Rhinolophus ferrumequinum: one gene and its partner. The protein of the gene in region 1 interacts with the protein of each later gene in a pairwise test. Links are inferred from orthologs where the notes say so. Each region holds a gene or a part of one and is shown in the gene's direction. Other genes may lie near its edges.

Evidence for each region. The genes of interacting proteins can lie anywhere in the genome.
Region 2: the proteins of RINT1 (region 1) and RBM41 interact in binary tests that used the Homo sapiens proteins (3 or more experiments, as listed by UniProt). The two-hybrid records come from large-scale screens. The link is inferred for Rhinolophus ferrumequinum from reciprocal best matches to the Homo sapiens genes RINT1 and RBM41.

Annotation. Positions count from the first base shown.
Region 1 is NC_046303.1:48,937,274-48,945,033, forward strand, and holds the start of RINT1 (RAD50-interacting protein 1), read left to right. Parts: upstream 1-4,704; 5' UTR 4,705-4,787; coding exon 4,788-4,829; intron 4,830-5,286; coding exon 5,287-5,332; intron 5,333-7,760. Other genes in the region: serine/threonine-protein kinase MARK2-like, read left to right, coding at 4,582-4,704. UniProt on the Homo sapiens protein: Involved in regulation of membrane traffic between the Golgi and the endoplasmic reticulum (ER); the function is proposed to depend on its association in the NRZ complex which is believed to play a role in SNARE assembly at the ER.
Region 2 is NC_046284.1:47,454,031-47,460,972, forward strand, and holds the start of RBM41 (RNA-binding protein 41), read left to right. Parts: upstream 1-3,914; 5' UTR 3,915-3,949; coding exon 3,950-4,089; intron 4,090-6,942. UniProt on the Homo sapiens protein: May bind RNA.

The DNA of each region.
Region 1 (7,760 bases):
ATAAACAAATGGGACTACATCAAACTAAAAAGGGTTTGCACAGCAAAGGAAACCATTAACAAAATGAAATGAAAAGACATCCTACTGAATGGTAGAAGATATTTCCCAATGATACATCTGATAAGAGGTTAACATTCAAAATTTATAAAAAACTGATACAGCTCACTGCACTGTACACCTGAAGCTGAAGCTGAACAATAATGAATGTCAACTACAATTATATACATATGTATGTACATATATACATATACATACATATATATATATATACATTTACAAGAAGTGGAGTACAGCATTAGGAATAGAGACAGTGGAAATGTAAAGGCTGTGTGCGATGTCTGAGGGGTAGTAGATGGGGCAGGGAGGTTATCACTGTGTGAGGGATATAAATGATAAATGTTTAACTATTTCATTGTTTTGTATACCTGAAACTAAAAACAAAAACAAAAAAAACGGATACAGCTCAACACCTAAAAAAACAAACAATCCTGTTAAAAAATGGAGAGAGGACCTGAATAGACATTTCTCTAAAGAGGACATAGGCATGACCAATAGACATATGAAAAAATGCTCAACGTCACTAATCATAAGAGAAATGCTAATAAAAATCACTTCTGTCAGAATGGCCATCATCAGTTTATCAACAAACAACAAGTGTTGGTGAGTATGTGGGAAAATGGAACACTCGTGCACTGTTGTTGAGATTGCAGATTGGTATAGCCACTATGGAAAACAGTATGGAGGTTCCTCAAAAAATTAAAAATAGAACTACCTTATGACCCAGAAGTTCCACTCCTGGGTATTTATGCAAAGAAATTCAAAACACTGATTCAAAAAGATATATGCACCCTTATGTTTACTGCACCGCTATTCACAATAGCCAAGATATGGAAACAACCGAAATGCCCACCAATATGCGAACTGGATAAGGAAATTGTGATACATTTATACAATAGAGTATTACTCTGCAATAAAAAAGAATGAAATCTTACCATTTGCAACAAAATAGATGGACCTAGAGGGTATTATACTAAGTGAAATAAGTCAGGCTGAGAAAGACAAATACCAAATGATCTTACTTACATGTAGAATTTAAAGAACAGAATAAATCAACAAACAAGACAGAAATAGACTCATAGATACAGAAAACAGAAAACAGACTCATAGTTACAGATAACAAACTGATGGTTGCTAGATGGGAGAAGGGTTGGGGGGATGAGTGAAAAAGGTGAGGGGATTAGAAAATATTTACAAATTGGTAGTTACAAAATAGTCATGGGGATATGAAATACAGTATGGGGAATATAATCAATAATGTTGTAAAAACTCTGTATAGTGCCAGGTAGGTACTACACTTACGAGGAGCATCACTTCATAAATCATATAAATGCCTAATCACTACCCTGTACACCTGAAACTGATATAAAATAATAGTAAATGTCATTGAATTTCAACTATAAGTTAAAAAGCTATATAGTCACAGAATGTACGGTATAGGGAATAGAATCAGTGGTATTGTAATAGCTTTGTACAATGTCAGGGGGGTAGTAGACTTGGTGGGGTGATCACTTTGTGAGGTGTGTGTAAATGTCTAACCACTACGTTGTTTTGCACATGTGAAAGTAACAATAAAAACATACAGAGAGGCAGCTGCAAGAAGAGTCTACCTAGAGTTGTCAGCCTCCGGTCTTCTCCTTGTGCCTCCTGACTCATGTGGAAATGAATGACTCTTGGAAGAGAGTAGGGATGGTTCTCAGGATGGGGAGACTGTGAAATGTTGACACTAAACTGAGGCACCAGGAGCGCAGCAGATATTTTCATTTTGACCTTCAAATATTTTCAAAAGATGGAAGCAGGATCCCTAGGAGGAAACCAGAAGCAGATGGATTTCAGGCTTGTATCATGAAAGGCCTCCAGGCTAGTCCCTTCTAGTACAAAGACTCTGTGATATTAAGATTTTGTAATTCCCTGCTCTCTATCATTTAAAATTGAAGGAGAGATAAAGAGCTGCCCAGAAAAGAATAAGCTAAAGGAATTCATTACCACCAATCCAGCAGTGCAGGAAATGTTAAAAAGGGCTTCCGTAAACAGAAGAAAGATGAAAATAATCTAATTAATAAAGACCAGAAATACAAATAACAAAATGGCAATAACTATGTACCTACCAATAATCGCTTTAAGTGTAAAAGGATTAAATGCTCCAATTAAAAGATATAGGGCCGCTCCGTGGCTCAGTTGGTTGGAGCGCAGACTCTCAACCACAAGGTTGCCTGTTGGATTCCTCGAGTCCCACAAGGGATGGTGGGCAGCGCCCCCTGCAACTAAAGATTGAACTAAAGATTGAGCTGCCGCTGAGCAACCAGATGGTCAGATGGCTCAGTTGGCTCAGTTGGTTGGAGCGCATCCTGTCAACCACAGGTTGCCGGTTTGACTCCGGCAAGGGATGGTGGGCTGTGCCCCCTGCAACTAACAACGGCAAATGGACCTGGAGCTGAGCTGCGCCCTCCACAACTAAGACTGAAAGGACAACAACTTGAAGCTAAACGGCATCCTCCACAACTAAGATTGAAAGGACAACAACTTGACTTGGAAAAAATCCTGGAAGTACACGCTGTTCCCCAGTAAAGTCCTGTGGAAAAAAAAAATCTGTTCCTCCAGAGATTTAGATAGATAAGGTGTTCTATCAGTTTCATCTTTCTCAAGGAGTTTCTCCTGATACCTTCTGACCTGTGTCAGTCTGTCGAGTGCACAGTGTTGTCCAGGCATTACTTCATTTTCTCCTGTGTCGTATCTTCTGTTTAATATGTCCTATGTCTTCTTTTTTCTTTGTTTAGTCCTTCATATTAGTGGAGCAGAACCTCCAGTAGCTTCCTGGGAAAGGAGAAGGGAAATGTTTTGAGACCTTGAATGTCTGAACGCACCTTTATTTTTTACCCACATTTGATTGGTAGTTTACTAGTAAAGCTAAATTTTCAGTTTGAAATAAATTTCCTTTTGAAATTTGATAGAATTATTCCCATGTCTTCTAGCTTTCTCTGTAACTGTTGAGAAATGGAAAGATATGCTGAGTCTTGAGCCTTTGTTTTCTCTCCCAAAGCTTAGGGGTTATCTTTTTGCCCCCAGTACTCTGCAGTTTCACAATGATGAGCCTTGGGGTCAGTCAATTTTTATCCATGTGCTGGGCAGTCAGTGGGCTCTTTTAATGTGGCAACTCATGATTTTTAGTTTGGAAAAATTTTCTTGTTTTATTGATGATCATGCCTTCCCTAACCCCTGTTGGTTTTTTTTTTTTTTTTCCTGAACTCTTATTTTTCAGATTTTGGGTCCCCTGGAGTGGTCCTCTAATTTATTATTTTTCTTTTGTATTTTTCATTTCTTTGTTCTTTTGTTTGTTTTTCCCCTAGAATATTTCCCGACATTTATCTTCCAACTTTTACTGAACTTTTCATTTCTGCTATCATATATATATATATATGTATATATGTATATATATATATATATATATATATTCTGTTATATTATGGTTGCAATGGTATCTGATATCTCAGGATACTGATTATATATATAATTTTCTTTTTATTGGGAATATTGGGGAACAATGTGTTTCGCAAGGGCCCATCAGCTCCAAGTCGTTGTCCTTCAGTCTAGTTGTGGAGGGCACAGCTCAACTCCACATTCAGTTGCCGGTTTCAATCTTTAGTTGCAGGGGGCACAGCCCACCATCCCATGTGGGAATTGAACCGGCAACCTTGTTGTTTAGAGCTTGCATTCTAACCAACTTAGCCATCTGGCCAACCCTTAGAAGCTCAGTGGCAGCTCGTTTTCTTCAATCTAGTTGTGGAGGGTGCAGCTCACTGGCCCATGTGGGAATCAAACCGGCAACCATGTTGTTCAGAGCTCGTGCTCTAACCAACTGAGCCATCCAGCTGCCCCCATATAATTTTTAAAAACGTTTTCTCCTCACTGAATGGTTTCTGTTTCCTCTAAGAGTTGCTGCTCTGGCCCCCACCCTTATTTATGTCTCTGTGGCACCACCACCTTCCATGTTTGTTTTGAAGTCAAATCCAAGAGTCCTCTACCTATCTCTTGCTATCAGGTATCTCCTATTCCTCCTACCCAGCAAAGAGCAGGTATGGTAGGGTATTGGCACTGGGTAAAGTGCATATTAAATGCTGAATCCTTTTCCTCTATTCAGCTCCCAGAAAGTTTATAACCAGATCTGCATCCTCCAGACAGGACATTGGAGGGTTATCTCTAGTTGAATCTGATCAGCCTGAAAGGAAAGATGCAAAAATAATGACATTGGAAGTTCTCCAACTAAACAGCCCAACCAAATTACATTAAAGATAGTCAACAAGCCCACCCTTACACCTTCATCTGGAATATCATCTAAAATATAAATTGAAATGATTCATACTGAATTTATGGTGTGGAGGGAGGGATATCTTCAAGCTCCATCATTAACGGCCCCAGGGAGCTGGAGGAGGTTTTACAGGGGCTGGGAAGGACCGCCCCCTTTCACCCGAGAGCCTCCGGGGCTGCGCCCAATTCCTAAGCGGCCTTCCCGGCCCCTGCCGGCAGGGGGCGCCACCGCGCACGGCCGGCGGCTGCGACGACAGGGCCTCTCTGGGAGAAGAGGAAGAAACCAAAGAGACGGGGAAAGGAAGTTGCGGTGGCGCTCCGCCCTGCAGTCCGCGAGACTGAGTTGGTGTCTGGTAGCTGGCCGGAGCCGGGCTCCACGCGCCACGCTGGCTGCTCCTGGAGCCGAGGATTTACCCGGAGGCGCGATGCTGGGGTCCGGCCAGATCGGCGAGGCGCCCGCAACCCCGGTGAGGCGGCCCTGATGGCCTGGGGAGGGGACACTGGTGGGCCAGTGAGGTGGCACAGATCTCCCAGAGGGGATTGTTTCCGTGGCGGCCGGGTTGAGGACGTGTTTCTCGTGACCCGAGAGAGATGGCTCTTGCAACCCTGGTGAGGTGGCACAGACCTCCCAGGGGAGGTAGTCCCAGAGAGGTGGCTGTGGCGATCCCGGTGAGATGACACTTGTCTCTGGGGAGGTGACCCTGGCGGCTAGGCAAGGTAACGCCAACGGTCCTGGGGAGGTGGCGGTGGTGGCCCTTTTGGAACCTGCATCAAACAGCCCCGGTCGCTCAGGAATGGGCCCGGCTCCGGCCAGCGACCCCGGGGGAAGGGGTCTGGGTCCTCGTGGTCCTCCAGTGTATGTTCTCTTGCATGAGTTCGTTTGCTACTTAAGTCTTAATGTGTTTGTTACACCTCTTCTTCTAGTGCTGCTCTGAAAGTGATGATGAAAGGAAGAACTTCAAGGAGAAAAGTAAGCGACTTCAAACACCTTAGCACTGTCTGTCTACCCAGCCAGCTCTCCAAACTCTGCCTTCCAGTGTCTGCAACCGAGAAGGGTCTTACCCTGTTATGTTTTAGATGAAGTATTTATTTTTCCTGCATAGTATGCTTGCATAGTATTAAATACTGATTATCGTTATACACATTTTTTTGTCTTTCTAAAATTCTAAAATATGGGATGATTTAGAGAAGAGCACTTCCTGACTCCTATCTCGTGCAGAGACTGAGTGGTTTCACGGGAGTTCTGCCCATCAGACTAATTCAAAATAATTGGGGCCTGCCTGTTATTAATATTTTAATGCAGCATCAACTTTTTAAGCATCAGGAATTTGGAGGGGCTAATGATCTAGGAGACATGCCTGCCACTTTAATTGTGTTCAAAGAAGTTTAGCTCATTCAAGAAGTTTAGATCATTGTTTAGCTGTAATTGACCAGTGAATTTGCACTTAAAAATTGATCTGGAAAGAAAACAATGGATAACTTGGTTCCTGGATCTTGGACTGGACAAGGAAGAGGGAAAAGGTACCTCCATTTCCTACCTTGGACAGGAGCATATGTCAGGGATGTGGACATTTGTCGTTTTACTTTAATGAGCTCAGCGTGGCAGGCTTTTGGAAATCAAGGAATCATCAGGGGCTTTTGAAGTAGAATTTATTGGGGGAGGAAGCAAAAAGGATGTAACAGCTATTCCATCAGAGGGTTTTTGGTTCTTCTGACCAGGGCAGAAATAGTCTGGGAATGAGTAGTGGTAAGAGAAAAAGGTGCCCATGTTACCGTGTTGGCTTTAAGAGCTAGGCTTGTCCTTAACATTGTCTACTGATGTAATCTGCATCAGACAGAAAGCCTTTAGTAGTCCATAGCCCTTGACAATCATAGCTGCCACAACTCAGCTCCTTTTCCTTAGAGGATTTGAGAGTACCCCATGTCTTTCAGTTAAACCCTTCCCTTTTCCACCTTTGCCCCATTCATGTCTGGGAAGTTAGTGCCTATTGAGCTCTCATGTTTGTAAAATGATCGATGCAGACTATAGACTTTGCCCTTGTCCCTCCTTTGGCTAGGGCCACTTCTTTGCAATTTATAGTAATGCTCGGTACAAAAAGTAGAGAATAGGAGAGACATAAAACCTCCAAACCACTAGCGTGTTATTTTGAAGAACCTAATTTGACTAAGAATGTACTATGCTGCATTTAATTGGTTATATAAAAAGAGTATAATATTTTAAAAAGTGAAGATAGAATTTACTCCCTTAGCATTCACAAAATAGTCCCTTTGCACGTAGCCCTGCCTCTGCAGGCACGTAGTGTCTGCAGATGTACCACGTAACTCAGTTGTTTAAGATAAAAAAAGAGAAGACATTGTAATTCCTGTACATGACCATAAATGGTTTTCTGTATTAGTAAAGTCTGATGTGGACCAGCTAATTCTGCTCATATTTGAAGAAGAGAATAATATTGGATTGAGAGTCAGAAAGCCAACATGGCATAGTCAGCAAAGGTATACCTGGAGAGACTCGGAAAAAGGAGCAGTGCTGTTGGTCCACAAATCTAGGACAGTGGAAAATAATTTAATTGCCTTTCAAGTGGATTATGTGTTTACTAGAAATTTGTTTTTTTGAGTGTTTTGTTTAGATAAAAATGGAAAAATTATTATAAGGAGTGGACTCTGGAAAATATCACATACTAAATGGGATGAGACAAAACTATCCAAAGCTAGTAAATGTTGCCTCTGCTGCTATTCTTCTCCAAGAAATGGTTTCAGGGTTCCAAATCACCTGTTTTTGTCACATTTAAGAAGTCCAATGTGAATTAATCCAAGTCTAGTTTATTTGCCATGGAAAGATTCTCACTTAAGACTGTACAATTTAGTGCATGCCTTAGTCGTTTTGAATTTTTCCTAGTAATTTGTGTTTTCTCTCATTTCCTTTAAAATTTTTTTTTCTGTTTCTGACATGGACATCTTCATACAATGGCATTTGAAGCTTTTAACACTTTTTTGCTCTTATAGAAGGAGGAGTTTTTACTCATTTCAAAATTTTTTCCTATGCTTGAAATTTTTTAATACTATTTTTTTTTCTTGACACCTTGAAGTCAGAGTCCTCCTTTGTTGTTATTTAGACCATACCATCTGGTTCCTTACAGATTTTGGAAATATATTAGACCATATATTAAAACCATACCAATAAAATCAGATTTGTCCTTGTTTTCCCAGTAATAAAATAGATTCTTAACATATAAGGTCTCCTGGAAATGTTTAATATCTATTTGTAACTGCACTGTCATGCAAATATCTGTTGAAACCTGTGGTTACTAGGACTTTAGGAGGTTTTCCTTCATTCTGAGGAATTTCCTCATCTCTTCAACATTTTGTAATAACTTGATTGATAGATTGCTTTGTGGTTA
Region 2 (6,942 bases), on another chromosome or scaffold:
CATGAAAGAATTGGACAATATTAAGGTTTTCCAAACTGAAACAAATGAGTTTTCATTTCGTGGAAGTTTTGTGATTATTTTATGTCTTTATTACCAGTAAGTGCTTACTGTAAAGTTCTTTAGTATAATAAAGAAAGAGTAGACTACAGTATTCCTATTGACTTTGCACTGAGAGTTCTAGTGTTTTGTTTTGTTTTTTCCTATTGTTTTTTCCCCAGGATATAGAAGAGGTCAGTGGATGCAAGTGGCTTCCAAATCAATATAGTAACACTACAAAATTTACTGGTATATCTCTAAGGTTCCTTCTGACTCTGGTTCAACATGACAATGTTGAGTAAATTTTAACAGAAAGTTGAGAAATAACCTATTTTTGTGGATAATTTTAAGGCAAGATTTATATTAGGTACTGGAATCTTGAGCCCCTCCTAACCATTGTTAAAGACTAGCTAACATATTAGCTGAAGGAGAATTCTTAAATTTGTCGTGTTGACACTTTCACCATGCTTATCTACTCATTTTTTGTCTTTTGAAAAATATGCTATATTTATTTTCTATAACAGCATCTATGCTATTTCATTTGGGGAATATGAAAGATGTGCACAGTTGTTTATACTTCATATTAGACAAGTGATGCTATCCCTTCTCAAGAGAAGATTTTGGCTTTAACATCTTCTTCCATATCTGGAAATTATAATTGCTTCATAATGTATTCATCAGAAGTGTGCTGTGAACAAAGTGCCTAAAAAGGACAAACCCTGAAAATATATCTATGTTAAGGAGGAGCTTCTGGCTTAATTAAACTAACTTTGTTAAAGTATCAGAAAGACAAATGCGGCATATTTTTCAGTTTGTCATAAATTATTCTAGGGGTGAAATTCTGAAATTACCTCATGGTAATATCTCTGTGCTCATGATAACATCTAGAAATCTCAAAGCTTTTTATATACTGTCTGATATCCTTTTAAAGCGGGGAGAGGGATGCTGTGGGAAATGGAATAGTTATTATTCCACAGTTAATAAGTTTGCCCGAGCTAGAAATAGCCTGGTTTTCCTTCTAATGCAATTTTCTGAATGTTTTTCCCCTCGGTACCTACCTCTAGGGCTGGCTACAGTCATGCACAGGTATATAGAGAAATATTTCCTTATGACCTTGCTTTTCCAGTTGCAATTTTAGCTTATGTGAGTATATATTTTTAGCTATTCATTCCCCACTCATCCCACCTAGTGGGTTTGCAATATAGTGTGTACCACTTCAGTACCAATAGGCTGTATGTTTCATTAGAAGTTGTATACAAGTCTGGTGTGATGGATGGTGTAGTTTTGTTTCAGTCTTTGCCACCTTCCCAGGGGACAAACACACTAGCAATTTTGGCGTATTTTTTTCCATTTCCTTATTGATGACTGTTTCAATTGGAGATTTTGGTTGAGTGGCATAATTCAGCCCCACTACTGTATAGGACTTATCTGGTGCAGGCTGTGATATGACCCACACTGATACTTTGCATGAGATTTTCAATCTGTTGGAAGTTCTTAGGATAAGAAGTGCAAAGTCTTCCAGTAGCTACTCTTTGTTTTTATCCTTTAACTTGTGCATGGCAATATGGCCAGTTTGAATAAGTCTGAGCCTACTGGATAACCTTGGAATATTTGCTCATAGATGACCACCCTATCAAGTGACTTTAAAACTGTACTTTTGTATAGTATTTTACAGTGACCCTATTCTGAGGTATTATTCTCATTTTACATATGAGGAAACTGGCCTAGACCAGTTAAAGAAGCTTACTGACTTTCACATAATCTTGTAACTTACCAAAGCAAAAGTTCAAGTCCAGATTACCTATTATGCTATATTGTCAATAACCGGGAACTGAGAAATCCAAACATTGTGATCCCCCCCAAACACATGATCTTTTTATTCTTTGGCTTTTTGTGATATAAAAAGGTTTCCCTTTCATTTAAAAAAAATGATTGACTAGGTTATATAATCACATAATTCGAAATTCAAAGAATGCAAAAAGATACACAATGAAGAGTTTTTCCCACCCTTGTTCCTCACCATCCATTTTCCCTACCTGGAGTCATTCACTTACCACCAGAGGCATTTTATGCATATATAAGCAAACATATTTCTCCTTCTTTTACTCAAACGGAAGCATACTATATACATCATTTTGTACCTTGCTATCGAACTAAATACATTTTAGAAATTGTTCAGTAGCACTCCATTGAGAACTTTGTCATCTCTGGGACTGCTGCATAGTTTTCCATTGAATGGATGTATCACATTCATGGATATTTAAGTTATTTGCAGTATTTTGTTATTATAAACAATGCTGCAGAGGATACACATACACATGTACATACTTGAGGATGCATAGTATTGAGGATACCATTCATACACATTGAATTGCTGTGCTAAAGGGAATGTGCATTTATGATTTCAAATGTATCCTCAGGTTACCTTCCATAGAAGTACCAATGTATGTTCCTACCAGCATTGTATTGAGAGGGCCTATTTCCCCACAATCTTAACAAAACAAGTGTGTTGTCAAATTTGTGGATCTTTACCAATCTGGTAGGTGAAAAATGTTACTTTAGTGTACTTTTTAAATTAAACTTTTTCTTTAAAGAACAGTTTTAGATTTACAGAAAAGTTGCATAGAATGGAATTCCATATGCCTCCACTCAGTTCCCTTAGTGTTAACATCTTAACCTATCTCTGGTATTTTGTCACAGCTAATCAACCTCATTATTAACTAAAGTGCATAGTTTATTCATATATCCTTTTTTTTTTTTCTTTTACCTAGGGCCCCTTTTCTGTTCCAGGATCCCATCCAGGATACCACATTTCATTGTGTCATCACCATGTCTCTTTCGGTTCCTTTGGCTGTGACGGATTTTCAGACTTCTCATGTTTTTTACGACCTTGACAATTTTGAGGAGTACAGGTCAGGTGTTTTATAGTCAGTGTACTTTGAGATTTCCATCTCACTTATGAGATTAAACATCTTTCTTTTCATACACTTAAGGATATTTGTATTTCCATTTCTGGGAACTAGGAGCCCATGCTCTTAATCGCTATGCTGTACGTCTCTCTTGATGCACCATAATTATCCGTAAAACGTTCACGGGCCTGAATACGTATGGATTTCTGATTCTTAACGACATAAATGTCTTGTGCGTAAGCCTCTGTTACAGATAGAGGAGAACCATTGGTATAAGTGAAGTCAGCAAACTTGTGTCTGATCATTCTGGCTACACTGCAGAGGATGGACCAAAGGCTCCACTTGAAATAACAGGAGGTTAGTAAGTCTTTGAAAGCAGAAGCAGAGCTGATGGGGACACAACTGAAGGAAATTGGAGGCGCCAGGATTTGGTGATACTGGATGAGAGTCAAGAAGTCAAAGGTGACTCCTAGGTTTATGAGCTGGATATTTTGGGTGTTGCCTTTAACCTCTACAAGAAACTCGAGAAAAATACTTGAACAATTTACAACATACCGGTTACTGAATACGTACTTTCTCTTTCAGTATTTTTAGTTCTGCGCTACTACAATTCCCAGAGCCGCGCGCTCCACCACAATCCCCTTCGAGTTTACCGCGCAGAGTTCTGGGAGTTGAAGTCCACGGCCTGTTTACCCAAGTTAGAGATAGGGGCCTGTGGAAACATGAAGAGGTAAGGGTTTGTCTGAGAACAGGCGGCGAAGGAAGCTCTGTTCTACCATTTAACTTTTAAAATGGCTTGTATTACTTTGTGTTTGGGGTATGTCACGTTGTTGGGTTGCGGTTTCGTGGGAGCGGGAAGACAAAGGAGGAGGGAGGAGGGGAGACAGGCTAGACAGGCCTGCAAGGGGAAGTTCGGGAAGGGCCTCCGCCGCTGCGGGTTCCCGTAGGAATGCCCTTCCAGCCCAGCCATGTAGGCCACGGCGCCGGCCCCGGGAGCTGGACAGATGCTGTGGCTTTTTCATGTTTCAGACAGACCCACCCAGGTGAAAGGGTCTTGGCGGACAGATGCCCAGCGCCGGAGAAACCCAGGCCAGCTCCTCCTTGTCCCCCTCATCTCCACCCTGTTCTCAGAAAAGGGCTGTGGGTGAGCGCCTTTATTTGCAGTGTTTGTGTATTAAAGGAGACTTGCTCAGTCCCCAAGAGCATGTAGCGCTTTCAAATCTTAAAGTAAGCAAGTATGCTTTGTTTCTACAAATTTAGAAGGCAAGTACGTACAATACCTATTCGGTGTACTACAGGAAAAGAATGGCACTGCTGCAAGCAGTTCCCCCTACTGCTTCTGCAGGAAATGGCAGCTTTAATTTGGGTCATTGTTGAAAGCGAGCTTCCCAATTATTGATAGCACACAAAGAGTTTTTAAAGGATCCTTATTAAAGTAGTTTTGTATTTACTCTGCAAGTAGAATAATCTCTCTGGAATAGGGCGGTGGGTGGGCTCTATTAAAATTCTTACTGACACTGCTCTCTTGCACTGTCAGTTTCTGCATCTTTTAAAAACTGTTTCTGATTTTCCCTGCCTCAAAATGACTCTTAAAAAATGTTTCTTATGATATCTTTCATACATGAAAAATTATATATATATATATATATATAGTTTAAAGAATGATAATAGACCCACTACAAGCTTTAAAATTGGAACATTACCAGTACCTTAGAAGTCCCCAGTGCTTCTTGATTGCTTCTCCTCCCCCCTTTCCCCTGAGGGGACCACTATCCAGAATTTTGTGGTAAACATTCCTTTGCTTTTTAAAAAAAATCATTTTACCACTTAGGAATTTATCCATAAACAAAATGTTGCTCGTTTTATCCATTTTTCAACTTTATATAAATGGACACATATTGTATGAATTTTTCTGGGACTTGCTTTTTTTCACTCAACATTTCTTTTTGAGATTCATATGTACTGATTTATTTAGGTATGGTTTATTCATTTCAAAGCCACTTTAAACTTAGCAAGAACTTTCAGAATTCTAAATAATAAAACTAAGATACTTAAAAGGGATGTTTTAAAACCCTAGGCCTAAAGATACTTAAAATTTTCCTGAAATACCTCTTAGTCTTTCTAGGGCACGAGAAGTTTACTTGTAATTACCGGGGGTACTTTTCCTAGGCCCCAATAGTAAAGGGCTATTTTATAAAAAAAATCATTTTAATATTTATTTTCCTCGTGGAGTTAGCTCATTTTTTTGTTGTTGTTTTTGTCTTTTATAATCTGTTGTTGCCTACTTAGAAGGCCTTGCTATTTCTTTAAACTCTAATAAGAGCTTTCAATTATTTAGAGTTAGTTAGTTCATGTTATTAGCATTACCTAGATTTTTACCTAGGCTATAAAATGTTGTGACCCTTTTCATATTTGGTTCTGTGCTCTCTCCTTTGGAGATCTCCTGTTTCACAGCTTCAGACCCTGACAATACAGATGACTTGAGATTTACATGTTCAGCCTGAGACTCTTATCTATGCAACAATTCTCACATCTCTCACTTTCCTTTTAGTCAATATCACTTATACTGTCACCTCAGACTCAATAAGTCTTTGAAGTATTCCTGGTACTTCATGCTGGTGTTTTCAGTTGTAATAGGTAGTTGACTCAACATGACTAAAACAATACTGACTTTCCCTTTCCCAAACCATTTATTTCATTTGGAGCTTCCTCTTTCCTTCATTGGTACCCTCGTCCTCTCAGTTTCATAGCTTGAATTTGGGGGTTATCTTTGACTTCTCCCTTACCCCTACCTTACCTCCTTATGCTTGATACATTTAAATAGTTTTCCACCTAGTTCTTCTGGTTTCCTTCCTATTAATTCACAAGGCATATTATAACCACATTCTTTTTCCTAAACTATCACTTGTACCGTGTCACTTAGCTGCCTAATAAATTACATTCTAATACCTATATATTAAGGTCTAGGCTCCTTAGTTGGTATATTTAAGGCCATTCACAGTCTGAGTCTTAATTACCCCTCCAAGATTATTTCCCAGTCCTCTCATACATGAATGCCAGCTAAATTGAACTTCTCATTATTCCCCAAAACATCTCCTTATACTTGCTCTCCCTGTTCTTTCCTTCATCACACCCAGTCCTTCAAATGCCAGTTTAAGAATTACCTTTCCGAAGTCTTCATTTACCACCTAGCTCCCAATTATCTCTTCTGTAAACTGCTGATTTGGCATAAGAGGTCAGACAATTAAGTTCGCGAACTCATCCTAGAAAAAGTGCTACATACCTCATTGCTGAATATCACTACAGTCACCTTCAAAGTACTCCCCTTGGGAAGCTATGTACCAACGCCAGCGCCTAGTCCACCCTTCAAAGCAATTTTGGAACTCTTTTTCTGGAATGGCCATCAGAGCTGTCGTCATATTACCCTTGATGTCCTGAATGTCATCAAAAGGTCTTCCTTTCAATATTTCCTTTATCTTTGGAATATTGGGGCCAGATCAGGTGATCTGTTATTGGGGCCAGATAGTTATTGGGGGCCAGATCAGGTGAGTAGGGAGGGTGTTCCAGTATAGTTAGTTATCTGTTTACTGGCTGAAAACTTCCTCACAGACATTCGTGTGAGCTGGTACATTGTTGTGATGCAAGAGCCATGAATTATTGCTGAAAAGTTCAGATCGTCTAACTTTTTCATGCAGCCTTTTTAAATAGTAAACTTGGTAAACTGTTTGTCCATTTGGTACAAATTCATAGTGAATAATCCCTCTGATATCAAAAAAGTTAGCAACGTCATTGCAACAAAGTTCGCAAACTTAATTGTCAGACCTCCTATGCTTCTCTGTATTGTTCTCCTCTCCTCTCCTGCCCACCCTTACCCTCCCTTGCCCTCTCTCTCCCACCCACCTCCCTGCGATGCACACACACATAACACATATACACATATATATTCCCTCTCCCTAAGTAAATTTCAAGCTGTTTGAGGATAGGGACTATGTCTTGA